Linked DNA regions of Macaca mulatta. The protein of the gene in region 2 purifies or fractionates together with the protein of the main gene of each other region. This does not show direct contact. Links are inferred from orthologs where the notes say so. Each region holds a gene or a part of one and is shown on either strand. Other genes may lie near its edges. The genes, in order: ARID1A, SOX2, DNAJA2, COP1, BAG2, CCT3 and SQSTM1.

Region 1 (4,229 bases), on a different chromosome or scaffold from region 2:
TGGATCCCAACCGAATTGCTCCTGCTCCAGAGTGAGGAAAACCAATTAGACCACAAATAGACCCATTTCTCCAATGTAACACAGGACACGCAGTAGTCACTGGCTGGGAAGGCAGAGGCAAAGACCACCCTTTGGCTGCAAAGGAGTTCCCATGCACTTATCTCCAGCCATACCTCCCAACCATCTGCCCCTGCTCTTGGCCATACCTCATGCCTGGCAATGGGGGGATCTGACTGTGTGGTGTGGATGCTGGAGTTGGTGGCTTTAAGTCTCCTCCTTCTGCCATGGAACTGCTGGTTGACTGAGGAGTCTGGGGCCCCTGCATAGATCCTGATCCCGCTGTGGACAGAGATACAATTTGAGCAGTTTGCTTGGCATGAAAGTGTTTAACTCTCACACAAACACACGAATGACCCAGAATCTCTTTGGGAAAGTTCTTCCTAAGGCCTTTAAAGCCTGATCACCCTTCTTAGCAGAGGATCTACAAGGCCAGGTCATGAAGACGGGAATTTGAGGGTTTTGTAGCTCTTTGTTTTTGTTTTACATGTAGAAAAGAGGAGTGATGTGGCCATGACATCACCATGCTGGTGATTCCTTGAGTCACTGCCAGCTTCCCTGGCTATTTCTTTTCACTCCTCCAAAGGACCTTGTCTAACCTATTAAACCCTGTAATGCTGGTGCATGAGCTCCAGTCAGAACCTCCCAAATCCTGGGTAGGGAGGGGCTTCCAAATCTGGGATGTATTTTAGGAGTCTAGGAGCTCCTGTTCTGAAGCATCCAGCTTGGTGTCATCTCTCAAGTTCAAATGTTCTTCTAAGCTGATGAGTACAAAACTACTAGTAATTAATGTTTCCAATAGTTACCATTCCTGGCAGTAGATATCCCACTGCTGAGGCCTCCCCAGCTGATGAGTCATCTCAGGCACTCATTACACCCTCAGAGGTCAACACCAGGGCACATGTGTTTACACCCACCTTCCAGGCACCCTGGTCTTCTTCCCTCTCTAGGCTCGCCCTAGGCCTCAGCCTCCTCTCAGAAAGGAGGGTGGGCAGAGGCACTCCCATCAGGGAGTTCCATTCATATCCTTTCCCCACTCCCTCCTTTCCATTCATTACCATCTCAGCTCCCTGGGGAATTCAGGGCTCTAGTCTGAGCTGCATTCTAAGGTGCTGACATCAAGGGGCCAAAGCTCCCAGATGGCCCTGTCTTGCTGCCATTTGTCAGTTCCCTCAACTCCTCTTGTGCCCCTCCCATTCACAACTTTACAAACATTTGGCAAGTTGCCAGCTGCACGACAAAAAGTAAAACTTTAAGGGCTGCTGCAGAGTACCTCCCAAGGGAGTTTCCACTGCCCACTCTCTAGTCAGCCAACCTATTAAGCCCTGTGGTAGGGCAAGGCAGAGCACAGATCCTTGGCATATCCTACTGGAGGCAGGTACCACTGAATATGAGGCCAGGGCAACAGACCCTCTCAGCCTTGGTGGGGCCACTGACCCCATCCTTACCAGGAGAGGGAGGCTGGATCTTGGGCTGCGACTTCTTGGAATCAGCAGCTGCAAAGATGTCTGGGGGAGGGTCTTCTCCCCGTTCAATCTTGCATTCAAAGGCATAGAGACACTGGATATACTGCTTTTTCAAGGAGCTGGCAGCACTGCTTGATGTGCCCACATTGAGGTTGGTTGCAAGTTCCCGCCATTTTTTGTTCTTGTTGACCTGTATAATCAAACCAAAAGAGTCGGGGTATATCTCCCGCCTGGTTTTCTGCCCGAAAGTCCCAAGCCCCATCAGGCTGCAAGGTATTCATCTTTGTAAAATCACAGTTCTTAGTTAATTAAAAAAGTTAAACTTGCTTGGTGGATACTCCACAAGAAGTGCTAATCTGCAGCTGGCTTCGTTTTACCCTCAGGATGTTCCACTGCAACTATCAGACTGTGCTTATGCAAAACAGGGCAAATTTCACATTACTACTGGAACAGAATTCAGAGTCCAGTTTTTTAGTACACTGCTGAAAAATGGTGTACAAATCATCTGCATATCTAAATCCTTTTTTTTTTTTTTTTGTTTTGAGACAGAAAAAATAAATCTCGCTCTGTCGCCTAGGCTGGAATACAGTGGCACGATCTCAGCTCACTGCAACCTCTGCCTCCCGGGCTCAAGCGATTCTCTTATCTTAGCCTCCCCAGTAGCTGGGATTACAGGCGTGCACCACCACTTCTGGCTAATTTCTGTATTTTTAGTGGAGACAGGGTTTCACCATGTTGGCCAGGCTGGTCTCAAACTCCTGGCTTCAAGTCATCTACTCGCCTCAGCCTCCTAAAGTGCTGAGATTACAGGCATGAGCCACTGTGCCTGGCCCTAAATCCTATTTTAAATGCACTAATAAAAACTAACATTTTATAAAATGGAGACTCGTGATAGTATCAATGACCACCCTGCTTGACTTGCTTTGTTAAACTGAGAATTTACACATCTGATTTTTTTCTTGGCATGGTGCTCCCTGCAAATTTGACATTCTTGTGCCACTGGCTCCCCTAACATATCTCACTGACAAATAACCGCAGATCCCTTTCCCTTACCAGTCACTGTCCTGATGGTCCAGGTGTTCAGGGTCTTATTTATTTACTTAGAGACAGAATCTCACTTTGTCACCCAGGCTGGAGTGTAGTGGCGCCATTTCTGCTCACTGCAACCTCCTCCTCCTGGGTTCAAGTGATTCTCCTGCCTCAGTCTGCCAAGCAGTGGGACTACAGGCGCCTGCCACCATGCTCCACTAATTTTTATATTTTTAGTAGAGACAAGGTTTGGCCATGTTGGCCAGGCTGGTCTCAAACTCCTGACCTCAGATGATCCGCCCATCTCAGCCTCCCAAAGTGCTGGGATTACAGGTGTGAGCCACTGTGCCTGGCCCAGGGCCTCATTATGACTTTTTTTTTTTTTTTTTTTTTTTGAGACGGAGTCTCGCTTTGTCACCTAGGCTGGAGTGCAGTGGCGCGATCTTGGCTCACTGCAAGCTCCGCCTCCCAGGTTCATGCCATTCTCCTGCCTCAGCCTCCGAGTAGCTGGGACTACAAACGCCCGCCACCACGCCCAGCTCATTTTTTATATTTTTAGTAGACAAGACGGGGTTTCACCATGTTAGCCAGGATGGTCTCGATCTCCTGACCTCGTGATCCGCCCGCCTCGGCCTCCCAAAGTGCTGGGATTATAGGCATGAGCCACTTCGCCCGGCCTTATTATGACTTTTGTACCTCCCCAGCAGCCAACCTACAGTTCTGCCTCCTTCCCTCAGCTTTAGGGCACACTGACCAAGCCCATTCCCCAGATGCTCCCTACAATTAGTCTTTCTGCTCTAGATGGACAGGTCTCCTTCTTCATGTATTCTTACGCTTATTCATCTACCATATGGTAAATCTGTTCCCCCAAGGCCTGGGAACAAGGGTTTTCCAGTCCCTGTACACAAAGGAAGTTCAGTAAGTCGTAATGTCTGCTGATACGGTACCCATGACACTAGAAAGAGGAGTTTCAACAGGCACAGAGGGGGACAACCTAGATGGGGCAGAGGTGACTAGGAATACTTCTTAGAGTGGGTAACACCTGAGCTAAGTCTTCATGGTTGGAAACGGCTTTGGTGGGAAATATCCAGACTCTCTCCCATCTCCGTGGCATCTAGGCCAGTCTACTGGATTGGCCACTCTTCCACCTAAACCCTACTAATCCTTTAGATAAGCTCAAGATGCAGCTTTGCTTTCTTGGAGCCTTCATAAACTAACTTATAAAAAGCACTCTTTTGCCCCTGAATTATCACTGTCTTTTAAAAGTTCAATTACAAGGCATTTTAAAGGTTTGCATCCTTTTGCAATCTGGAAGAGACTCAGACATCAGAATTCTCTCTGTATCTCATCCTAGGTTCAGTGAACCCTGAAGCTCACCCAATCAGAAGCGAGCGAAACCTAACCCAAAGCTCCCCTTCCCTATAGGCAGGGAAGACTTGACTATGAGATCTGAGTATCAGGGAGAATGGCAGGAATATACATGGAGTCACCTCAAAAGCCTTCCATGGCTTTGCTTCTCATGCCAGTTATGTGGCAGTATGCACGTGTCTTGTTTTGTTTTGTTTTCCTTTGTGGGGGAGGGGAATAAAGCCTGAAGGGAGAAGGAATTCGTAACTGACTGTTGGCTGGCTTCATTCCAATCACTTTCTTTTCTGCTGGTGACAGCTGTTTTCCTCT
Region 2 (3,388 bases):
TGGCCATTTTTGCTTTTAACAGTTGAGTTATAAAATTTAGTACAATCTAAAACTTTTGCCCTTTTAAACAAGACCACAGAGATGGTTCGCCAGTACTTATTCTAATTTTTTCCTTTTGTACAATTTTTAAACAATTAAAATGTCCAAATCTGAATAATTTTCTTCTTTCCACGTTTGCAACTTTCCTAAATTTCAGCTGCAGAATCAAAATTCAGCAAGAAGCCTCTCCTTGAAAAATATTGGCAAATTCTCAGCTTATAAACAATGGACATTTTGATTGCCATGTTTATCTCGATAAATACTGTACAAAAGTTGCTTGCAAATATTAAAACATTTTTTTCGTCACTTGGAGACTAGCTCTAAATATTATTGGTAAAGACTTTTGCAAACTTCCTGCAAAGCTCCTACCGTACCACTAGAACTTTTAAAAAGTTTTTCGTAGCTTTCTTTCCTCCAGATCTATACAAGGTCCATTCCCCCGCCCTCCCCACCCTCCCCTGGTTTTCTCTGTACAAAAATAGTCCCCCAAAAAGAAGTCCAGGATCTCTCTCATAAAAGTTTTCTTGTCGGCATCGCGGTTTTTGCGTGAGTGTGGATGGGATTGGTGTTCTCTTTTGCAGCTGTCATTTGCTGTGGGTGATGGGATTTTTTTTCCATTTTCTTTTTGAGCGTACCGGGTTTTCTCCATGCTGTTTCTTACTCTCCTCTTTTACAGCCCTCCCATTTCCCTCGTTTTTCTTTGAAAATTTCTCCCCCCTCCAGTTCGCTGTCCTGCCCTCACATGTGCGAGAGGGGCAGTGTGCCGTTAATGGCCGTGCCGGGCACCGGGCCGCTCTGGTAGTGCTGGGACATGTGCAGTCTGCTGGGGGCGGCGGGTTCCGGCACCTCGGCGCCGGGGAGATACATGCTGATCATGTCCCGGAGGTCCCCGGCCTGGCAGGGCGCCCTGGAGTGGGAGGAAGAGGTAACCACAGGGGGGCTGGAGCTGGCCTCGGACTTGACCACCGAACCCATGGAACCAAGAGCCATGCCAGGGGTGCCCTGCTGCGAGTAGGACATGCTGTAGGTGGGCGAGCCGTTCATGTAGGTCTGCGAGCTGGTCATGGAGTTGTACTGCAGTGCGCTCACGTCGTAGCGGTGCATGGGCTGCATCTGCGCTGCGCCGTGCGCGTTGAGGCCCGGGTGCTGAGGGTAGCCCAGCTGGTCCTGCATCATGCTGTAGCTGCCGTTGCTCCAGCCGTTCATATGCGCGTAACTGTCCATGCGCTGGTTCACGCCCGCGCCCAGGCCGGCGCCCACCCCGACCCCGCTCGCCATGCTGTTGCCGCCGGGGGCCAGCAGCCCGCCGGGCAGCGTGTACTTATCCTTCTTCATGAGCGTCTTGGTTTTCCGCCGGGGCCGGTATTTATAATCCGGGTGCTCCTTCATGTGCAGCGCTCGCAGCCGCTTAGCCTCGTCGATGAAGGGCCGCTTCTCCGTCTCCGACAAAAGTTTCCACTCTGCTCCGAGGCGCTTGCTGATCTCCGAGTTGTGCATCTTGGGGTTCTCCTGGGCCATTTTGCGCCGCTGCCCGCGGGACCACACCATGAAGGCATTCATGGGCCGCTTAACGCGGTCCGGACTGTTCTTCTGGTTGCCACCCGCCGCCGCCGCAGTAGAGTTGCCGCCGCCGCCGCCGCCCCCCGAAGTTTGCTGCGGGCCCGGCGGCTTCAGCTCCGTCTCCATCATGTTGTACATGCGGGCGCTGTGCGCGGGCCCGGCCCGCCGGCGGCCGCCGACCCTCGGCCCGGCCGGGACTTTGGGGGCCCGCGGGCGGGGGGAGAGGAGGAGGGGAGGCGGGCGGGGGTGTCGGGAGCGCAGGGCTCCGCGAGGAAAATCAGGCGAAGAATAATTTGGGGGAAAAAAAGAGAGAGGCAAACTGGAATCAGGATCAAAAAAGAGCTTCCCTCCTCCTACGGCCGATCCTGCCGCCGCCGATGATTGTTATTATTATTTTTTGGAAAGGCTTAAGCCTGGGGCTCAAACTTCTCTCCCTTTCTTTCTCTCTCCTCTTCTTTCTCTCAGTCCTAGTCTTAAAGAGGCAGCAAACTACTTTCCCCCTTTTGCAAACACTCTCTTCTCTGCCTTGACAACTCCTGATACTTTTTTGAACAAGTTAATAGACAACCATCCATGTGACGGGGGCTGTCAGGGAATAAATGGGTTTCTAGCGACCAATCAGCGCGCGGCGGCTCCTCCACTCGAGCCCAGCCTCGCTGCCGGGTTTTGCATGAAAGGGGGCGGGGCCTCCCGCGCCGCCGGCCGCGCGGGGGAGGCCGGGGGAGGAAGGGGCAGGCGAGGAGGGGGAGGAGGCTCCCAGAGCCAGCCTGCCAGCCACTGAGAAACCTTTGTATCCCCTCTCGCAGCAACAGGTCACACCACACGCCTTTTCGAAGGAAGTGGGTAAACAGCACTAAGACTACGTGGGGGTTTTTTTTTTCTTTAAACTTAATATTGATTTACTTTTTGGTGCAGGGTACTGAAATGAGGATGGGACGCGGGAAGCAGCTAAGGTGCGGGGGTGGGGCAGGGCACAGTGGGTGGCTCAGGGCGGCTGTCCAACTCGTATTTCTGGAAACAGCCAGTGCAGGAGTTGGTGTGTCATTGTTCTCCTGCTCATCCACAGCACTCCCCCCCCCAACTCCAGCCCCTCTGGTGCCGCTCCCGTACCGCGCTCTTCCGCTCTCCCCTCTTACCTTACAGGTGCCAACACTCTCACTCCCTTCTCACAGTCCCGACTAGCAGTTAGGAGACCCAAACCTCTGTCCTCAAAACCTTCCTTGCTTCCACGTAACGTTGCTCTGTTCTTAAAAATAAATCCTGCTCGGACCATGAGGCCGACTCTAGAGCTGAGAACCGGCAGGCCTTGGTAAGCTGCCATCTCCCTGTCCAACTCAGCTCTTTGGCCCAGGAAACTGCAGCTCTTCCTCTTAGCCCCAGCCACATCTCCCACTAGACTGTCTTCATTCAACCGTAGCAAAGGGGATGCTCCTACTGTCTCCCCCCACTCCCCATTCCCATCCCATGCCTCCCTGAAAGAAGGGTTTCGGTCGTGCGGGTTTCAAATGGGGGCTGGAGAAAGAGACAGACGGAAGGGCGCTCAAAAGTGCAGGCGATGGGGGAGGGTGATTTCAACTTCCTGGCATCCCACGGCACTGTACGGAGGTGGCTTTTGGGCCGCAGTCACAAACTCCCTCCCACGCAGAGTTCCCAGGACTCGAGCAGAACCAGCCCTGGCATTTCCCCCGTCGATTTCCACTGTGGTGGCTGCAAAGCCCAGGCCGCGCAAGGCTGGGGCTGCGCCGCAAAGGGGCTCAAGTCTTGGGAGGCGGGGTCGATGCTCTCCAGG
Region 3 (4,229 bases), on a different chromosome or scaffold from region 2:
TCGAGACAGGAGGACTGCTTGAGCTCAGGAGTTCAAGACCAGCCTGGGCAATATGGCAAGACCCCGTCTCTACTAAAAATACAAAAACAAAACAAAAAACCCCAAAAAAACAGATGGGCATGATGGTGTGTCAGTTGTCCCAGCTACTTGGGAGGCTGAGATAGGAGGATTGCTTGGGCCCAGGGGCAAAGGTTGCCGTGATCCCAGATCACGCCACTGTACTCCAGCTTCGGCAACAGAGCAAGACCATCTCAAAAACAAAAAAACCCCAAAACATACACTAGTGACCACATTCTTCAGAAACTTCTAAAAAAAATGTTTTTTTTGTTTTGTTTTTTTTAAATCCTAGAACTCTTTCAAGGATAGCTCACTTGGCTACCCAATAAGTAAAAACCAAATCAACAGAGCAGCAGAGTTTCACAGTGAAAAAACAGGCTGCCTTAGACCAACTGGTCCAACGCCCAGTGCCCTTATTTTCATAAACAAAGAAACTGAGACAGTAAGACTACCTACGGTTAAAGTACTAGTCAACGACCAAGCTAGAGGAGAATCGCTTGAACTTGGGAGGCGGAAGTTGCAGTGAGCCAAGATTGCGCCACTGCACTCCAGCCTGGGTGCAGTCAAAAAAACTCCGTCAAAAAAAAAAAGACCAACGCTGGGTGCAGTGGCTCCCGCTGTTAATCCCAGCACTTTGGGAGGCTGAGGCAGGTGCACCACCTGAGGTCGGGAGCTCAAGACCAGCCTGACCAACATGGAGAAAGCCCGTCTCTACTAAAAATAAAAATTAGCCAGGAGTGGTAGTGCGCGCCTGCATTCCCAGCTACTCAGGAGCCTGAGGCAGGAGAATCGCTTGAACCCGGGAGGCAGAGGTTGCAGTGAGCCGAGATCACGCCACTGCACTCCAGCCTGGGCAACAACAGTGAAACTCCATCTCGGGTGGGGGGGAAAAAAAACCAAGCCAGGACTAAAACTGACTCTTATAGTGCTTCTAACGGCACCTGCCTTGTTAGTCTTTCTTACACAAGCCTGTCTTTAGGAACTTGCCATGATTCCCTTAACTTCTCCAGTGTGCAGTGTTGCTCCAGGGACTCCAAACAGATCTAACCTATTTCTCACAAACAAGAAGTACTTCTGAATAAAACAAAACACAAAAAACTAAAAAAAGGAAAATCACCTCATGTTCTTTCTCCTGTAGCAAAAGAACAATGTCTCCAGGTTCCACTCCTGGGGCCTGGTCTGCTTCCCCAGTGAATGTAATTCTCTGTCCATGTTTCATGCCTTTGTCTACGTGGACTTCAAGAATCTTCACTTCTTTAATCACCTTCTTCCCTTCACATTTTTTACAGCGGTCTTTTTCATTAATTACCTCTCCTGGAAAAAGAAGTCATTGAAACTTTCAGCAAGAGTACTATACTGTACTCTTTAATACTCTTATCCTTTAAATATACTTTCTGAATTTCTTTTAATAGCTACCTAAATTTTTATTCAAAGCAGCATTCTGAGGCCAAGCATAGTGGCTCGAGCCTGCAATCCCAGTATTTTGCGAGGTCAGGGTGGTAGGATCACTTGAGCTCAGGATCTGAGACCAGCCTAGCAATACAGTGAGACCTTGCTTCTACTACAAATAAAAAAAGTTAGCCGGCATGGTAGTGCACACCTGTAATCCTGGCTACTCGGGAGGCTGAGGAGGGAGGACTGCTGGAGGTCGAGGCTGCAGTGAGTTATACTCATGCCACTGCACCCCAGTTTGGGTAACAGTGTGAGGCCATGTCTCAAAACAAAACAAAAAAAAGCATTATTCTGAATAACAAAAACTTACATCTTACTACTGCAGATTGCCTGAAGGACTCAGCTTCCCACTATTTCAGAATGTAATGTATCCATACCATGTTTAGGGCAACACGGCTTTTCTCTTCTATATATTCTTCTGAAATATTTAATTATGGTATAAAAAAGCAAAACTGTGATTATACATAGTATAGTGTGAAAAAATTGCGTCACTTTCTAATGGCTAATTACTGGCACATTTGGAGGCTTAGAAAGATGTGTATAACTGATTATTTAGGGGCTGTTTCTGTAACAGTACTTTTGCAAAGTATGTTCTGCGAAACACCAGTTCTTCAAAATGGTAATGGTGGCGGGGCATGGTGGCTCACGCCTGTAATCCCAGCCCTTTGGGAGGCCAAGGTAGGAGGATCACCTGAGGTCAGGAGTTTGAGACCAGCCTGGCCAACATGGCAAAACCCTGTCTCCACTGAAAATACAAAAATCAGCCGGGTGTCATGGCGGGCGCCTGTAATCCCAGCTACTCAGGAGGCTGAGGCAGCAGAATCACTTGAGCCAGGAGGCAGAGGTTGCGGTGAGCTGAGATCGCGCAACTGCACTCTAGCCTAGGCAACAGAGCAAGACTGTCTCACATTTAAAAAAAAAAAAAAAAAAGGAAAAAAAAAAAAAAAGTAATGGTACATGAGAAAAGATTTCAGTTAACTTTGGTTTCTTGATAGTGGGAGTTAGCAATTTTAATAAAATAAAAGGAGGCCAAGAGTGGTGGCTAACACCTGTAATCCCAGCCCTTTGGGAGGCTGGGGCAGGAGGATTGCTTGAATCCAGGAGTTCAAGACCAGCTTGGGCAACATGGCAAAACCCAGTGTCTACAAGAAATACAAAAATTAGCTGGGCGTGGTGGCAAGCACCTGTGGTCTCAGCTAATTGTGGGGTGAGGGGCTGAGGTGGGAGGATTGCTTGAGCGTGGGTGGTGGAAGCTGCAGTGAGCCGAGAATGCGCCACAGAACTCCAGCAACACCCTATCTCCAAAAATAATAATAATTTTAAAAAATAAAGTAAAATGCCAAGATTATCCAGGAAGCAAACATCATATGTAGCTTCTCATAATTATCTCATCACTTCCAATAGCAATGTGGAAAAGGATGCTCTTGAACTATACTGTCTAATGTGGTAGCCACTATCTACCTGTAGCTACTTAAGTTTATGTTTAAATTAATTCAAATTTAAAATCGTTCCCCAGTCACACTAGCCACATGTGAAGTATGCAGTAGTCACAGGTGATTAATGGCTACTGTACTGAACACTGCAGATACAGAACATTTCCATCACCACAGAAAAAAATTCTATTGGATAGCACTGCTCTAGAATGGCAGGGGTGGGAGGAGCTACTTGTTTTTATAATTAAAATTTTAATCAGAACACAGCCATACCCATTTGTCTGTGGCTATAAAAGCACTAAAAGTCAGAGGTGTGTAGTTGTGACAAAAACTATTTGGCCCACAAAGACTAAATTATTTACTTCTGTGAGGACAGTTTCAATCTCAAAATCAATTCTTTAAAGCTAACTAAAGGTTACAGTAAAATCTTCTACTTATCAGAGTAACTAAACAATTACTTGTTTAGTTATTATTTATTTGTCCCTTTGTAGTTTAAAAGGTTCTACTTGAGAAAGGAGAAAGTCCTCCCATGGTGGTCATTTCTACAGAAACAGTATATAAAAGGTTATATTTGATAAAGAAGGAAATAGCAAAGGAACAAATAATCACCTTGCCCCTCTTTTCAGAATTAAGGAGTCACCTTTCACTAACACAATACAAATCTACTGTTTCTCTACATTCACTGGGCTTAGGCATAATGGAGTAATTACTTTCACGCTTTTATTTTTGCAACAGGGTCTTGTTCTGTCACCCCGGCTGGAGTGCACTGATATGATCACGGCTCACTGCTCCCTTGAACTCCCGGGCTCAAGCAATCCTCCCGCCTCAGCCTCCCAGGCAGCTGGGACCACAGACATGCCCTGAGCTCCTGATTACATATTTTTCTACACTTTTTTTCCTATAGTAATGAGGTCTCCCTATGTTGCCCAAGCTGGCCTCGAACTCCTGGGCTCAAGCAATCCACCTCTGTCTCCCAAAGTGCTGGAATTATGGGAATAAGCTAACGCATCCGGCCTCCTTTTTCTTTAATAAGATGTAAACAAATACCCTTTGAAATAAAAAATTGAAAACCTCTCCAATATCTGCATTCTCAATCCATTTCAACATAAAAGCAGAGAAGTACTGGCACACATACCTTCTCCATTACAATCAGAGCATACAGACTGCATCTGTTGTACCATTCCTGGAGCCAGCTGTCTGATCATGATGCGCACACCCCGACCTCGACAAGCACTACACTTCTGGACAGCTCCAGACTTTCCACCTTGGCTAAAGCAAACACAAGTT
Region 4 (4,229 bases), on a different chromosome or scaffold from region 2:
CAGTACAGTAACGTGATGCATAGGTGTATAGCCTAGGAGCGCAGTAGGCTATACCATATAACCTAAGTGTGTAGTAGTGTGTACCATCTAGGTTTGTGTAAGTACACTGTATGCTCACACAATGACAAAATTGCTGAACGATACGTTTCTCAGAGTGTATCTCCATTGTTAAGTATGCATTATTGTACTTGCTGTTCAGCATCTCAAATCCAAAATCCGAAATGCTCCAATGAAGCATTTGGAACTTTGATTGTCATGTTGCCGCTCCAAAAGCAAGGATTTGGGATTTTTGGATTTCAGATGTGCAACCTTTTAATATATTGAATGTAAGTATGTTGAACATTGTAACATTCAGGGATTGGCAGAATGGGTTTACAAAAAAATTAGAATCCAACTTTATGCTATCTACAAGAGATAGACTTTAGATTCACAGACACACGTAGGTTAAAGTAACAGGATGAAAAAAGATACACCATGTAAGTAGTAATCAACAAAAATGGTAGAATGGCAGTATTTAGGTCAAACAGAAAATACTTAGAGTAGAAACCGGTACTAGAAACAAAGACATTTTATAATGGTAAAAGGATGAATAGTGAAAACATACATCAATTATCAACACACCTAAAAACAAACTTTTTGTAGATACATGAAAAGAAAATCTACAGTATTTAAGGGAAAAGTAGATAATTTGACTGAAGTTGTTGAAAAATACTCCACTTTCGATATTTCATAGAAAAACTGGACAGAAAATCAGCAAAGTTATAGAAGTCTTGAATAACATTGCCAACCTGACATAACAAACATCCAAAGATCACTTCATCCAACAGTAGAAGAACACACATTCTTCTCAAGCAAGCTTTAAACAGTCTCCAGGTGAGACCATATTTAAGACTGAAAAAAAGTCAATAAATTTAAAGTGAAGACATACAAAACAGTTTTCTGTCAATAAAATGATTGAAGACTTACAAAACAGTTTTCTGACCAAAATGGAATTAAATTAAAAATCAACAATAGTTGCTTTGAGACATCTGCAAGTATTTGGAAATTACATGACACATTACTAAATATCTCATTAGTCAAAGAAGAAATAACAAAGGAAATGTAAAAGGATTTTAAACTGAATGAAAATGGAAACACATCGTATCACAATTTGTGGTGTCAGCCAAAGCAATGTTTGTAGAGAATTGTGTATCCTTAAGTGTCTGTCTTTAAGAAGAGTAACAAAGCTAACTGAAGACAAGCAGAAGGAAGGAAATAATAAAGATTATCATAGAAATTAGTGATAGAGACAGACAGGAATAGAGATTGCCTATGATGGTGGATGCCAAATGAGTGATCTTATTGGAGTGCAGAAATATTATAAAACTGATTTATGGTAATGGTTGAACTGCTGGTTAAATGTAGTAAAGATCATTGAATTGCATGCAATACTTTGAGCGTGTGTATTGTATATAAAATATGTCTAATTTTTTAAAGCAAATGTGGGAAATAAGATTATATAGCATTATGTTTATCCAGATGTCCCATAATGTTTATATTAACATTTTTTAATGACGCCACTAAAACATAGATTGATTTTTAAGTTTCCAATTATTTTGACCTCTTAATACTCTCTTTCTAGAGCCAGTCTTATTTTAGAAAAGAATTCCTTTTTCTTTGTTTTCTGGCTGTTAGAGATTAGACATTCTATGTGAAACTTTTAATGAAAAAAACAAAAACCAGTTTAAATTAACTTTGCTTTCCATTTCTGCGTTTACTACATTTATCTAATTTTGTTTTGGTTTAGATCACTGTGTCCACTACTATGATCTTCGTAACACTAAACAGCCAATCATGGTATTCAAAGGACACCGTAAAGCAGTCTCTTACGCCAAGTTTGTGAGTGGTGAGGAAATTGTCTCTGCGTGAGTATTACTCCCCTCAGAGGTCAAGCTTAATACAGAGCTCTGTACTTAAACACCTACCAGTTTGTAATGTCACTGAAGATGTATGTAAACTATAATGTTGGAGTATATGTGCTTTTTCTTAAATAGTATTTTTTTTATCTTGTCCAATTAAAATAGTGTGGATTCTGGTCTGTATTGTGCTCTACTATATGTAAATTGTGGATATAATCCTGAAGATACTGGTTTTTTTATATATGCTCCCCCCTTAACTCATCCTCCTATGTTTAATTGCATTTGAACTTCAGATTGGATTTTAGCTATTGCTTCTTAAGAAGAGATAAACAACATAGTCGATGCAATATAATGAGAAGTATTTTATTTATTAAAGTCAACTAATGTGTTATTGTATATTTTATCTAGTTGCAGTATAGTGGTAGAATTATTTTTGGTTTTAAATATTACTTGGTTGGCTTTTACACTGACATGTTCATTTCTCTGTGATTTCATGGTGATTTTAAATATGTTGAAAAGAAAACTTTTTTTTTTTTTTTTGGCACAGAGTCTCGCTCTGTCACCCAGGCTGGAGTGCAGTGGCGTGATCTCAGCTCACTGCAGCCTCTGCCTCCCAGGTTCAGGTGATTCTCCTGCCTCAGCCTCCCAAGTAGCTGGGACTACAGGCACATGCTACCACTCCTGGCTAATTTTTGTATTTTGAGTAGAAACAGTTTCGCCATGTTGGCCAGGCTGGTCTTGAACTCCTGACCTCAAGTGATCTACCTGCCTCGGCCTACCAAAGTGCTGGGAATACAAGCGTGAGCCACCACGCCTGGCTGACAGATGAACATTCTAACTCAGTCTGGCTCCAGAGACTGCATTCTTAACCAGCAAACTGCATTGCCTCTAATTAGTAGTGATGAGTTTCGTGTCAAGAAATTTTAAATACATTCTTACTCTTTATACTTTTCCTCAGCTCTACAGACAGTCAGCTAAAACTGTGGAATGTAGGAAAACCGTACTGCCTACGTTCTTTCAAGGGTCATATCAATGAAAAAAACTTTGTAGGCCTGGCTTCCAATGGAGATTATATAGCTTGTGGTAAGTAAAACCATCGTTTCCAGGAACTTTTTAACAGGTATTTGTTATTGAAATTGAACTCAATGGAAATAGACTAAATATTAAGTCAGGAAATGGTGTGTGCACTTAGAAGATAGTATAATAGACATGATGCCCCAGCATTATTGATTTTCCTTGTGTTGTACTAGAAGAGCATTAGTCCTTCCCTTTTTTATTGTGTACAAACCCTGAACACCTCAAATACCTGAACACCTGATTTTTAACTGTTTTGTAGTTGTTCTCCATTATAACGTAATTCTTTAGATACTGCGTGGGAGACAGAAAAGGTTAAGTTCTGTTAGTAATATTTCCAATTTTGGAGACATTATATGTCTTCTTAAGCTTGATATTCATTTTCCCTTACCTGCTGTTCTCTCCATGAAGTAATCTATTTGCATAGTATTGATCTGTTATTCTAGGACTTTTATTGTTGATAATTTATACAAATTTAAATAAGAAATAGAAAAATCAAATTTGATATTATTCAAATGCTCTGATATATCTAATGCCTGAATATATGAGCTTTGATCATACTTTTAAATGACTTGGCCTTTATTCAGCAAAGTTGACTTTCTCCACATGTGTATGAGACTGCCAAAGCAAATATCTGGAACAATTATCCTATCTTAATAGATGGCTCAAAAATACAGTTCATAGACCATTAATCAAATAATTCCTATACTGAGAAATGGAAATAAATTGTGTAGGCTATTAAAATCTGCCTATGTAAGTGTTGCCAGTTTCTTTTACCTCTCTAAGTGGAAATCTTTCTAAATGTAATTTCAGATTCTTGCTATAATAACATATTTCTGGTTCTACTATAGACTGTTAGCTTGGTGCAGAAGTTAAAAGTAATGACAAAACCCACAATTACTTTTGCACTAACCTATATAAATGATTTTTATAGGGTAATTTTAGCCTCGGAATTATCAATATTGTCATATCATTTAACATTGATTGTTTCTTTAGATCAGTAAAGTATAGCTTTTGTCCAAGAATCCTTTTCTTACATGATTTCTAATTAGTCCTGTAATCTAGCCTTTCAAATTTGACCATAAAAGATCTTTGAGCTAAAACTTTGGGTGATAATTACTATTAGAATGTGATGTCCTAATTCCGAGTTTTCCTATTCTAAAATATTATTATTATTATTATTTGTTTTCAGGAAGTGAGAATAACTCTCTGTACCTGTACTATAAAGGACTTTCTAAGACTTTGCTAACTTTTAAG
Region 5 (3,520 bases), on a different chromosome or scaffold from region 2:
TTTACACTCCTTTAAAGAGTTTATGATAAGTGTGGGTCAATTTTTGCTTGACTTTCGGTATGCGTATACTAGGCCACAGCATTTAATGTGAGCCACAGAGAGCAGCTGCAGCTGTCAGTTTATTATAGCAGCCACTTACTCAGAGATTTCTTCCAGCATGCTCTCTACCCCAAGCCATGGCTGGGAGAGATAGGAAAAAGCCTGCAAGCTCAGAAGAGCTGGCCCCAAGCAGTAAGGCCATGTGTTTTATCCCAGGTTCACACTCCTAACTTCAGTTCTTCACAAGTTACTGGACTGCAAGAGATTAAAAAACACAGAGGAAAAAGGGTGAGAATGGAAGCAGAGAAGTAGAGACCAAAAAAAAAAAAAAAAAGATGAATTGAGGTACAACATAAAGAGAGGGACAAAATGCAGAGAAAATGAGGAAACTTGTAGGACCAGTAAAAGGCATGAATGTAAAAATGTGCTGTCATTTTCTTTTTTCTTTTTATGAGATGGAGTTTCACTCGTCACCCAGGCTGGAGTGCAGTGGCACGACCTTGGCTCACTGCAACCTCCGCCTCCCGGGTTCAAGTGATTCTCCTGCCTCAGTCTCCTGAGTAGCTGGGATTATAGGCGCCTGCCACCACACCTGGCTAATTTTTGTATTTTTAGTAAAGACAGGGTTTCACCATGTTGGCCAAGCTGGTCTCGAACTCCTGACCTCAGGTGATTTTGCCTGCCTCGGCCTCCCAAAGTGCTGGGATTACAGGCATGTGACATCACGCCTAGCCTGTGCTGTCATTTTCATGTGAAGAACATGTAATAGGTAGGAATAGGTCACTTGTGATTTTCTTTTTATTGGCACTGGACTTCCTACTTGGGCTCCTTTGGTGCCACACAGGCCACATGTTACTGGGCCAAGTGACTGGTGAGATAAGTAAGCAATCTAAATCCAGATCAAAACTGTTACACATCTATGGTAGGCCATGATCTAGTCTCTACACTGTCCTGCCCAAAGATCAATGAATTAGGAAGTTACAGAAGCAGGAGATTGCTGACTTTTTCATATAAATAATGAAATGTTGATAGAGCTCCTCATGCCGGTCAAGACTTTAGACCACTGTCCTGTTTCTATCTGGAGAAGCATGAAGTCAGTGCCTAGTATTGATGCCAGCTTATCTTCTATCATGGCTATATTTTCTCAACCAAAATTTGGGGCAGTGTATTCTGATAAATGCACATGTCGTTATGGAGAGATCTGGGACATCTGATCTCTGGAGCTGTACCCAACATAAATCCTATATGTGCTTACTGCTCAAAGGGTTAAGACTTGATCTCCATCCCAGTTACAAATGCATACCTACCCAAACTTTTGCAAACATGCCAATTTGAGAAGTCATCTAGTATCCCATATATAAAGATTGTCAGGAAATGGTATTCTACAACCTCTCTCTGTAATCTAATACATTTCATCAGTTAATCTTACATGCTATAATTTTAGCTTGTATCTTTAAAAAAATTTCATAGCAGATACTTAATACATTTAGTCACAAATGCCTTAATGTTCTTGACACAGATAAGTTTATGTCTCATATTGATTGACATTTTAGGAGAAAGAGAAGAATTAAATCTGACTGCAAACCGTTTGATGGGAAGAACTCTCACCGTTGAAGTGTCAGTAGAAACAATTAGAAACCCCCAGCAGCAAGAATCCCTAAAGCATGCCACAAGGATTATTGATGAGGTGGTCAATAAGTTTCTGGATGATTTGGGAAATGCCAAGAGTCATTTAATGTCGCTCTACAGTGCATGTTCATCTGAGGTGCCACATGGGCCGGTTGATCAGAAGTTTCAATCCATAGTAATTGGCTGTGCTCTTGAAGATCAGAAGAAAATTAAGAGAAGATTAGAGACTCTGCTTAGAAATATTGAAAACTCTGACAAGGCCATCAAGCTATTAGAGCATTCTAAAGGAGCTGGTACCAAAACTCTGCAACAAAATGCTGAAAGCAAATTCAATTAGTCTTCAAACCCAACAGCATTTACACAATACACATGGTGTAAAAATGATAAAATACTATTTTAATTGATAACTAGTTCTTTATGTTAGATATAACCACTTAGTTGATACTGACAGTTGTTTCAGATGAGGAAAATATTCCATCAAGTATCTTCAGTTTTGTGAATAACAAAACTAGCAATATTTTAATTATCTATCTAGAGATTTTTTAGATTGAATTCTCATCTTGTACTAGGATCTAGCATATTTCACTATTCTGTGGATGAATACAGTTTGTGGGGGAAAACAAGTGTTCAGCTAGGGGCAAAAGCATCACTGCTTTTTCCTGTGCTTTGGCGTGGAATCACGCAGTCACCTTGGGCATTTAGTTGACTAGAAATTCTTTACCTTAAGCAGCACACACATTTACTACACACAGTGTTAACAAAGCACTGTGCTTAGAGGGATAAAAAGGAATCACAAAACAACAGTCTTTCCAAAGTTGTCTCATTCCTCAATGTTAAGGCATCTATATCAAATTATTTTGGATGTAAAGATTCCTGTGTCTCATAATATGAATGTATTTTTTGATATACAAGAAACTATGACATAAAATGTGAGAAAACCACCTATAATTTGCCACTGTGAACAATTATATATCTGCTTCATCTTTTCTCAAATGCATCAATTCTCTAGAATTCCTATATTGTAACTTGCCTTTTTAAAAAAGTTAGATGCTGATATAAAGCCTGCTTGTCAACTTAATGAGCTCTATTTTGTGTAGTTATATCTTTCTTTATCCATTCCCATCTTACGGACATTTAGGTTGCTTCCAGCTTGTTGCTATTACTGCAACATATTTTTGTACGCAGGGCTTTTTCCTTCTTTTGTTTTCAATTTTCTCTGTATAAAGGCCCAGCAGTGAATTATATTGGATCAAAGGGTATAGACATTTTCATGGCCTCACACACTTATTAAAAATTTTTTGTACAAAGGTTATAGCAATTTATACTTTTTTCAGTAAATAAAATATAGCTATTTCACTGAACTCTTTCCAGCACTGAGCATTAACACTTAGTTTGCATTTTGTTTACTAAAAAGGTTGACCAGTGTGTTGATTCTTCTTTTATCTGTGATAAAGTGAAGCAACTAGAGAACACTTATTTGTTTAAAGTAACTAGTCCTGTTGATATAAACGCAACAACTTCCCTAGATACTATTTTGAAATGAACACATCAATTTTTATTTCAATGTAGGTATTCTTCACACTGAAAAACCAAATCAGGATCCAAACTGATTTTATATATGTCTCTCTCTCTCAATGCAAGCAATATTGAACTTCTTTTTCTCTACAAAAATGCCAAGTTAGTCTCTTTATAAAAAGCAGTTAAAATCTGAAGACATTTGTGTTACTTCCTTTGCCAGCTCCAACTCTGCCTTATTTAAATCTTTCCATTTCATGGGAAACATTAATTCTATCTATGGCAAAGCCACTTGGTTTGTTAGCAGACTCTGATTTGCTGTCATCAGGCTGTGAGA
Region 6 (4,229 bases), on a different chromosome or scaffold from region 2:
GTCTCCCAAAGTGCTGGGATTACAGGCGTGAGCCACCGCGCCCGGCCAATTCTTCCCAGTTCTAATTAAAGGTACCTTGTTCTGGCCAGGTGCAGTGGGTCACCCTGTAATCCCAGCACTTTGAGAGGCCAACATGGGCGGATCACCTCAGGTCAGGAGTTCAAGACCATCCTGGCTAACACAGTGAAACCCCGTCTCTGCTTAAAATACAGAAAGAAATTAGCTGGGTGTGGTGGCGGGCATCTGTAATCCCAGCTATTTTAAAGGCTGAGGCAGGAGAATAACTTGAACCTGGGAGGTGGAGGCTACAGTGAGCTGAGATTGCACCACTGCATTCTAGCCTCTGGGCGACAGAGCAAGACTCCATATCAAACAAACAAACATACCTAGCCCTGATTTAAAACTATTTCATTCAAGTAGGGTGCGATGGCTTATGCCTGTAATCCCAGCACTTTGGGAGCCTGAGGTGGGAGGATCACCTGAGGCCAGGAGTTCAAGACCAGCCTGGGCAACATGAGACCCTCATCTCCACAAAAAGAAAAAAAAAAATAGCTGGGCACAGTGGCATGTGCCTGTAGTCCTAGAAAATCAGTGGATTTGCTTGAGGCCAGGAGTTTGAGGCTGCAGTGGGCTATGACTGTGCCACTGTACTCCAGCCTGGGCAACAGGGTGAGACTCTGTCTCAAAAACAAAACAACACTAAAAACGAACTATTTCCTCACAAGTGAGATGACTCATGCTAAGATATAATTTGACCCAATGTATACACTGTGAAAGTTTACCTTTTCCACTTTTGCGTATTTTTTTATGTCAATCTCTTTCCGACCATTCTCCTCAAACTGTACCGTCTTGACAGCATCCAGGGCAATGTTGCAAGCCAAAGATGACCATCGACTGATGGCTTTGGTAGTAATGGAGCTGTTGATGATGTTCAGCATCATATCACTGTCATTGATGTCGACTGGGATACTAGAGAAAGAAAACCAGACGATATGTGAAGAAGGCATGTTAGATATGTAGAGATGTGCCTCATCTATACCGCAGTGACTATAATAATGGACCAAGAGGCAGAACACGGGGACTTTCTTTTTTTTTTTTATTTTTTTATTTTTTTTTTATTTTTTTTTGAGACGGAGTCTCGCTCTGTCGCCCAGGCTGGAGTGCAGTGGCCGGATCTCAGCTCACTGCAAGCTCCGCCTCCCGGGTTCGGGCCATTCTCCTGTCTCAGCCTCCTGAGTAGCTGGGACTACAGGCGCCCGCCACCTCGCCCGGCTAGTTTTTTTTGTATTTTTTTAGTAGAGACGGGGTTTCACCGTGTTAGCCAGGATGGTCTCGATCTCCTGACCTAGTGATCCGCCCGTCTCGGCCTCCCAAAGTGCTGGGATTACAGGCTTGAGCCACCGTGCCCGGCCGGGACTTGTTCTTTTGGAGGAAACAAAAAGGACATTAGGAGGTAACCTTTATCCATTCCTCTGCCTTTCAGCAAGATTACAACTCATCTGTAGAAGTGCCTTAATTCCCTGAGCAACCCTTTACACTTACATACAAAGATTATAGTAAAATAATTTGTTCCTTATTTTCTGCTTCAACCAAGTAAACTTTTCAACTTTTACAACTCAGATCAAGACACTTTTTTTCTATGAAACTCTATCCTGTAACTAGCTAACTTTAAGAGTTTCATCAATCATTCATTTTGAACAGCAAATTTTATTTTTTAACTCATGGTGTGCCACAGTGGTCAAAGATGACCACCAACTGGTCATCTTTGTGTTTTTATGTTACTGTAAACACATTTTCTGTATTTTCCATTTTTATATTAATTTCAGTCTCTCCTCACAAGATACTTTCACATAATGCTAAAATATCTTTTTTGGCCGTGCACAGTGGCTCACACTTGTAATCTCAGCACTCTGGGAGGCCAAGGCAGGCAGATCGCTTGAGGTCAGGAATTCGAGACCAGTCTGGCCAATATGGTGAAACCCCAGCTCTATTAAAAATACAAAAATTAGCCAGGAGTGGTGGCCTGTGCCTGTTGTCCCAGTTACTCTGGAGGCAGAGGTTACAGTGACCTGAGATCGTGTTACTGCACTACAGCCTGGGCGACAGAGATTCCGTCTCAAAAAAAAAAAACAACACCAAAATAAACCAAATTCCTCTTTTAACAGTGAAAGGCACATAATATACCAATTATTAAATGGTTGAATTATGGACTTTTGGGAAGAAGAAATGACTCCAAAAGTAGTATCTAAGATAAAGGGGGCTGGGTGCCATGCTTCACACCTATAATCTCAACACTTTGGAAGACTGAGGAGAGCTTGAGGCCAGGAGTTCAAAATCAACCTGGGCAACATAGTAAACCTTATCTCTATGAAAAATAAAAAAAATTAGCAGGGCGTGATGGACACATCTGTAGTCCTAGCTACTTGGGAGGCTGGGGCAGGACTGTTTAAGGCCAGGAGCCGGAGGCTGCAGTAAGCTGTGATTGCACCACTGCACTCCAGCTTAGGCAACAGAGTGAGACCATATCTCTAAAAAATAAATTTTTGGGGAGGCCGAGGTGGGTGGATCACCTGAGGTCAGGAGTTTGAGACCAGACTGACGAATATGGTGAAACCCCATCTCTACTAAAAATACCAAAATTAGCTACGTATGGTGGTATGCACCTGTAGTCCCAGCTACTTGGGAGGCTGAGACAGGAGAACTGCTTGAACCCAGGAGGCAGAGGCTGCAGTGAGCCAACATCGTGCCACTGCACTCCAGCCTGGGCAACAGAGCAAGACCCCCCACTCCCCCCCAAAAAATGTTTTTACATAAGACTAAAGTGTTCTAGGTAGGCAGTTATTACTTGATTAAAAAATATATATTTTGGGCCAGGCACGGTGGCTCATGCCTGTAATCTCAGCACTTTGGGAGGCCAAGGCAGGCAGTGGGCAGATCACCTGAGGTCAGGAGTTTGAGACCAGCCTGACCAACTTGGAGAAAAACCCCATCTCTACTAAAATTACAACACTAGCCAGGCCTAGTGGCACATGCCTATAATCCCAGCTACTCAAGAGGCTGAGGCAGGAAAATTGCTTGAAGCCAGAAGGCAGAAGTTGAGGTGAGCCGAGATCCAGCCACTGCATTCTGGCCTGGGCAACAAGAGTGAAACTCCATCTCAAAAAAAAAAAAAGCTAAGGGTGCAGCTCCACACAATAAAATCTCTAGGTACCTCTACATTCTCACAGAGCTTACTGCATAAAAATAATTAAACACTTCATTCCTTAAGTGTGCCAGACAAAGATATTAGTATACAACTTGTTTAAGAGCAGGCAGTATATGGCTGGGCGCGGTGGCTCACGCCTGTAATCCCAGCACTTTGGGAGGTCAAGACAGGTGGATCACCTGAGGTCGGGAGTTCGAGACCAGCCTGACCAGCATGGAGAAACCCCGTCTCTACCAGAAATACAAAATTAGCTGGACGTGGAGGTGCATGCCTGTAATCCCAGCTACTTAAGAGGCTGAGACAGGAGAATCGCTTGAACCCGGGAGGCGGAAGTTGCGGTGAGCCGAGATCGCGCCATTGCACTCCAGACTAGGTAACAAGAGCAAAAACTCCATCTTAGGAAAAAAAAAAAAAAAAAGCGCAGACAGTATAATATAAACCTCACCAAATTACTAAATACTTATGCATCTAGTGACTCAACCATATGAGTAGAACATTTAAATAAAGAAAAGAAAAAAACAAACAAACTATTTCCAGTCAGGCATGAAAAAAAGAATACATTATCGATTTTTATTTTTTTTTGAGACAGAGTTTTGCTGTTTGCCCAGGCTGGAGTGCAATGGCATGATCTTGGCTCACCACAACCTCCGCCTCCCGGGTTCAAGTGATTCTCCTGCTTCAGCCTCCTGAGTAGCTGGGATTACAGGCGCATGCAACCACGCCTGGCTAATTTTTGCATTTTTAGTAGAAATGAGGTTTCACCATGTTGGCCAGGCTGGTCTCGAAATCCTGACCTCAGGTGATCCACCCACCTTGGTCTCCCAAAGTGCTAAGATTACAGGCATGAGCCACCGCGCCCAGTCCAGGTCTTACTTTTTATTTTCTTGAGACAGTCTCACTCTGTCGCCTGGGCTGGAGTGCAGTGGCACAATCTCAGCTCACTGCAACCTCCTGGGTCCAAGCAATTCTCCTGCCTTAGCCTCCTGAGTAGCTGGGATTACAGGCACCTACCACTATGTCCAGC
Region 7 (4,229 bases), on a different chromosome or scaffold from region 2:
AACCTGAGTCATGCGGCTTATAGTTCTTCATAAAGAAAGGAAAGAAACTAGCCCTAACTTCTGTAACAGTCTAAGTCACTCTGCGACTGGCTCTCCTCAGCTGAAACCTCTCAGTCTATTTTACTAAAATCTTCCTTGTTTGTAGAGCCGCAGGCTCCTCCCTGGTTAGGAGAAAGCAATTCTACCCACTTTGAGCCTTTAGCTTTTAGTGCTCAAAGACATCTGAGCACTTGCAAGATGATTCCTGTCTGTGCCAAGTGGGGCGTCCAGTTCAGTTCTGACGCCGAGATGCTGCACCAGCACAGGCGGGTCTTGAGACAGTGTGACCCCAAGCACCTGGGCAGCCTCCCAGACAGATCCCAGGCCCCACCAACACCCACTTACCACAACCAAAACAGGTAAGGTCTGGGGATCTGCACTCTCTTAAAGTCTCCACCTGAACCTACACTTGCTTCTGTGACTTCCCAGGATGTCTCCTCCTTTGTTCTTTGAGTGAAGGACTCTTGTTCGAACCTCCAAATTCACCTGCAATTTTTCTGACCTTTACTATGCCCAGAGTGAGTTGCAGGATTGAGGCACAGCCTATCTCTCAGTCATGATCTCAGTGCTCCACTGTTCTACCCTCCTTCGAAGGCATTAAGAATACTGATTCTAGGCTGGGCACGGTGGCTCACACCGGTAATCCCAGCACTTTGGGAGGCCGAGGCGGGTGGATCACGAGGTCAGGAGTTCGAGACCAGCCTGGCCAACATAGTGACACCCCGTCTCTACTAAAAATACAAAAATTAGCCTGGCGTGGTGGCGGGCATCTGTAATCCCAGCTACTCTGGAGGCTGAGGCAGGAGAATCGCTTGAACCCAGGAGGCGGAGGTTGCAGCAAGCCGAGATCACATCATTGCACTCCAGCCTGGGCTACAAGGGCAAAACTCCATCTCAAAAAACAAACAAAAAAACCAGAATAGCGATTCTTCTTTCCTATTCTCTGACTTCGCCTCTAAACTCTAGTACAGAAGCCATATGTGTTTGGGCTGTTTAGTACAGCAGCAATGCCAAGATGTCACTGCTGCCTCAAAGTGGAATGAGCAAGGCCGGGCGCAGTGGCTCACGCCTGTAATCCCAGCACTTTGGGAGCCCAAGGCGGGTGGATCACGAGGTCAGGAGTCAAGACCAGCCTGGCCAATGTGGCGAAACCCCGTCTCTACCAAAAAAAATACAAAAATTAGCTGGGCGTGGTGGTGGGTACCTGTAATCCCAGTTACCCAGGAGGCTGAAGCAGGGGAATCGCTTGAACCCAGGAGGTGGAGGTTGCAGTGAGCAGAGATCGCGCCACTGCACTCCAGCCTCGGCGACAGAGCAATACTCCATCTCAAAAAAAAAAAAAAACCTGGAATGAGCAGAGTTGGAGCAGATGGCAGTCATGCCCTGTAGCCACAGGAGGCAGCAGGCAGGGTTCGGATGCCCCTCCTGGCAGCATTCTCTCAGACACTGAACACAACCTTTGGACAGACTGACACAGCCTGCCACTGCAGTCGCAAAAACAAGCTCACTCTTCTAGAGAGATGCAAGTGTCCCAGCGATCCATCTGCCATCACGGATCCACCGTCATCTTGAACTAGAAGTTGGCTTCATTCACTGATTCTTACTGCCGCGTGCCTAACCCTGCAGCACCCACCCCAGACCCTTAGCCAGACACAAGCACTTTCTAAAGCCCAGCGGGGAGGGGTCTCAGAGCCTGAGCTCATGCCTGGGGTCAGGTGGCACCACTCTGGGGGTACACATTGGGGTTTGCCCACCCCAGCAGACCCACTGTGCAACCTGAGGCACCAGAACTGGCTGTCACCCAGAGTACCTGCCTCCACCTTCTCCCCGCTCTGATGCAGGCCCAGCGCCCAGAAGCACTGGAAAGGTTTGGGGGTTGTAAACTAAAAGAAGGAAAAGATAAATAGCATCTCTACTACTACCCAGGTCCTCAAAAGTCCAAATCCCAAGGCCTGGCTTAGGGGAAAATGCAGACTATTGTTCACCCAAAGGAGGCCAGTCAGAGGTGACAGGCAAGCCCTACAGCCAGACCCTGGTGACCCTGCCTCACTGGGACTGTCCCAACCAAATGCTGATTCTACTTCACTCCATGTAGAAAGCTTGAGAATTCTGTCAGGGAATTCAACCGTGAGTGAGTTGCCTGTGGTCCAGGATTTAGTAAAGGTTGACTTGAGGCAACAAACCCTCACCAGTGTCAAGGGCATGTCAATTACCCATTTCTCTGCGGTATTCCCGGTGAAAGTGACAAAGTGCAGGCTGAGTTAGGCAAGCGCTGGGCAAGGAGGTGCACTCACCCAGAGGGCTAAGGGCGGCTGCCACGCTCTCCCCCACGTTCTTCAGGAAATTCACACTGGGATCCTCCGATGGACCAGCAGCTTTGATTTTTACAAAGATAAGATAAAGATATCTTTAATGCCTTGGATACCTGTCACCTTCTTGCCAAGGTCCCTGTGTTCCTGGGTGACCTTTAACCCAGACGCCTTGTCCAGGGGCCCACTCAGCATCCCCCTTCTCCTCCCTCCCACTCTGCACCCCCTGGCCCTGCACCGAGAGCCTCTCCTCTCTCGCACGCCGTTCCCCCTCATCTGCGACCCTGGTGCTCAGCAACCCCACACAGGCTCAGGCTCGGTACACTGTGAATATTGATCACATCCTTGAGTAAATATTTACTCAAAGTCAAGCAAACATCCCCATCTTTGTCCCAGAGGGTGGGGTGATTCACAGGACACAGTAACATTAATAAAATCAGAATCCAAAAATCTAGACTACAAAGCTAAGGGTAAGTCTTTAACTTACAACTATGTTTAAAAGGACTTGAGAAACTTGGGCTCTGATCTTCGACAACCATCACAAAAGAGAACAAAGTGCATCAGAAACTCTGGGCTGGAAGGGCCTCCCTGCCTGCACCTCACGGCACCTGGACAGGGCAGCCTCCTGAGGGGGAAGGGCTATGCAGGTGAATTTGTGGCTTCAGGCACTCACACCTCAGTTTCCCTGTTTGGGAAATGCAGAGAATACTCCCCACTTTGCAGGTTCTTGTGCGATTGTAGGACACCAGGAAGGTGGGGAGGTATCTTGCCTTGCACACAGGCTTTGCACAAGGGCTCTGCGCACAGGCTGCCTGACTACTGTCACCATTCAGAAGCCGGTTCCAATGCAAGCCTCACCTGATTCCACCGTGGGACCAGGGCGGGCATCCCCTGCACGAGGTGGACGTGGGCTCCAGTTTCCTGGTGGGCCCATTTCCCATCCTGGCCACCCGAAGTGCCCGTGTTTCAGCTTCCGGAGCCAGCGGCTGTGCGAGAAGCCCTGGGGGAGGAATTAGCAGAGGGGCAGGCAGTGAGCGGGTCAAGGTTCCTGCCACCCTGAGCCCACCCCAGGCCTGCCCAGAGGGCCTGCTCACCTCAGACAGGTGCCCGAAGGGGCTGGGGAACGCGAGCTTGGTGTGTCCCTGGTGCAAGCCCTTTCCCTCACAGACGCTACACAAGTCGTAGTCTGGACAGACGCTGCACTTGTAGCGGGTTCCTACCACGGGCCCGTTGCAGCCATCACAGATCACATTGGGGTGCACCATGTTGCGGGGCGCCTCCTGAGCACACGGTGGGCGGTGGTCCCGCCGGCACTCTTTTTTCTCTGCAGGAAGGGCAGAGAGAGCTGCTAGGGTGCGGCCCCCTAAAGTGCTCCCCCTCTATCATCACTGTGGGGCTGTCACTGCCAGCAAGGCCCCTGGAACTGCTCCCCAGCATGGAGTCCACACAGAATTCAGCTGCTTAGGTGAGGGCGGCAGAGCAACCAAGAACCTGCTAGGAGGTTCCCAGTCCCTGTGTCTGTTACCTGGGAACCGTGGCCCAGGCAGCAGAGCAGCAGCAAGGAGCCCGGGCTGCATGACTTGGGCCTTGCTCTTCACCCAAGCACCGCGGCAGCAGACCCCATACCTAGGGTGAACACGGACTCCTCTTTCTCAGGTCAGGTCAGGTCAGGCACAGCACTTAGTATGTCTTTTTTTTTTTTTTTTGACACAGAGTCTCACGCTGTCACCTAGGCTGGAGTGCAGTCGTGATCTGCAGTCGTGGAGTGCAGAGTGATTTCGGCTCGCGGCAACCTCTGCTCTCCAGGTTTAAGCGATTCTGGTCTCAGCCTCTTGAGTAGCTGGGACTAGAAGCACACGCCACCACAGCCAGCTAATTTTT

What was found.
Region 1: the proteins of SOX2 (region 2) and ARID1A purify together in Homo sapiens (affinity purification with mass spectrometry; 3 studies listed by BioGRID and IntAct, with this or other methods). This does not show direct contact. The link is inferred for Macaca mulatta from reciprocal best matches to the Homo sapiens genes SOX2 and ARID1A.
Region 3: the proteins of SOX2 (region 2) and DNAJA2 purify together in Homo sapiens (affinity purification with mass spectrometry; 3 studies listed by BioGRID and IntAct, with this or other methods). This does not show direct contact. The link is inferred for Macaca mulatta from reciprocal best matches to the Homo sapiens genes SOX2 and DNAJA2.
Region 4: the proteins of SOX2 (region 2) and COP1 purify together in Homo sapiens (affinity purification with western blotting; 3 studies listed by BioGRID). This does not show direct contact. The link is inferred for Macaca mulatta from reciprocal best matches to the Homo sapiens genes SOX2 and COP1.
Region 5: the proteins of SOX2 (region 2) and BAG2 purify together in Homo sapiens (affinity purification with mass spectrometry; 3 studies listed by BioGRID and IntAct, with this or other methods). This does not show direct contact. The link is inferred for Macaca mulatta from reciprocal best matches to the Homo sapiens genes SOX2 and BAG2.
Region 6: the proteins of SOX2 (region 2) and CCT3 purify together in Homo sapiens (affinity purification with mass spectrometry; 3 studies listed by BioGRID and IntAct, with this or other methods). This does not show direct contact. The link is inferred for Macaca mulatta from reciprocal best matches to the Homo sapiens genes SOX2 and CCT3.
Region 7: the proteins of SOX2 (region 2) and SQSTM1 purify together in Homo sapiens (affinity purification with western blotting; 3 studies listed by BioGRID, with this or other methods). This does not show direct contact. The link is inferred for Macaca mulatta from reciprocal best matches to the Homo sapiens genes SOX2 and SQSTM1.

What each region holds. Positions count from the first base shown.
Region 1 is NC_133406.1:214,212,682-214,216,910, forward strand, and holds part of ARID1A (AT-rich interactive domain-containing protein 1A), read right to left. Parts: intron 1,714-4,229; coding exon 1,506-1,713; intron 340-1,505; coding exon 207-339; intron 25-206; coding exon 1-24. UniProt on the Homo sapiens protein: Involved in transcriptional activation and repression of select genes by chromatin remodeling (alteration of DNA-nucleosome topology).
Region 2 is NC_133407.1:93,814,816-93,818,203, reverse strand, and holds SOX2 (transcription factor SOX-2), read right to left. Parts: upstream 1,738-3,388; coding exon 778-1,737; downstream 1-777. UniProt on the Homo sapiens protein: Transcription factor that forms a trimeric complex with OCT4 on DNA and controls the expression of a number of genes involved in embryonic development such as YES1, FGF4, UTF1 and ZFP206. Binds to the proximal enhancer region of NANOG.
Region 3 is NC_133425.1:42,411,923-42,416,151, forward strand, and holds part of DNAJA2 (dnaJ homolog subfamily A member 2), read right to left. Parts: intron 4,212-4,229; coding exon 4,078-4,211; intron 1,372-4,077; coding exon 1,175-1,371; intron 1-1,174. UniProt on the Homo sapiens protein: Co-chaperone of Hsc70. Stimulates ATP hydrolysis and the folding of unfolded proteins mediated by HSPA1A/B (in vitro).
Region 4 is NC_133406.1:33,462,133-33,466,361, reverse strand, and holds part of COP1 (E3 ubiquitin-protein ligase COP1), read left to right. Parts: intron 1-1,786; coding exon 1,787-1,904; intron 1,905-2,856; coding exon 2,857-2,981; intron 2,982-4,164; coding exon 4,165-4,229. UniProt on the Homo sapiens protein: E3 ubiquitin-protein ligase that mediates ubiquitination and subsequent proteasomal degradation of target proteins.
Region 5 is NC_133409.1:125,106,787-125,110,306, reverse strand, and holds the end of BAG2 (BAG family molecular chaperone regulator 2), read left to right. Parts: intron 1-1,592; coding exon 1,593-2,005; 3' UTR 2,006-2,817; downstream 2,818-3,520. UniProt on the Homo sapiens protein: Co-chaperone for HSP70 and HSC70 chaperone proteins. Acts as a nucleotide-exchange factor (NEF) promoting the release of ADP from the HSP70 and HSC70 proteins thereby triggering client/substrate protein release.
Region 6 is NC_133406.1:110,602,334-110,606,562, reverse strand, and holds part of CCT3 (T-complex protein 1 subunit gamma), read right to left. Parts: intron 970-4,229; coding exon 783-969; intron 1-782. UniProt on the Homo sapiens protein: Component of the chaperonin-containing T-complex (TRiC), a molecular chaperone complex that assists the folding of actin, tubulin and other proteins upon ATP hydrolysis.
Region 7 is NC_133411.1:188,832,529-188,836,757, reverse strand, and holds part of SQSTM1 (sequestosome-1), read right to left. Parts: intron 3,673-4,229; coding exon 3,443-3,672; intron 3,349-3,442; coding exon 3,207-3,348; intron 2,415-3,206; coding exon 2,334-2,414; intron 1-2,333. UniProt on the Homo sapiens protein: Molecular adapter required for selective macroautophagy (aggrephagy) by acting as a bridge between polyubiquitinated proteins and autophagosomes.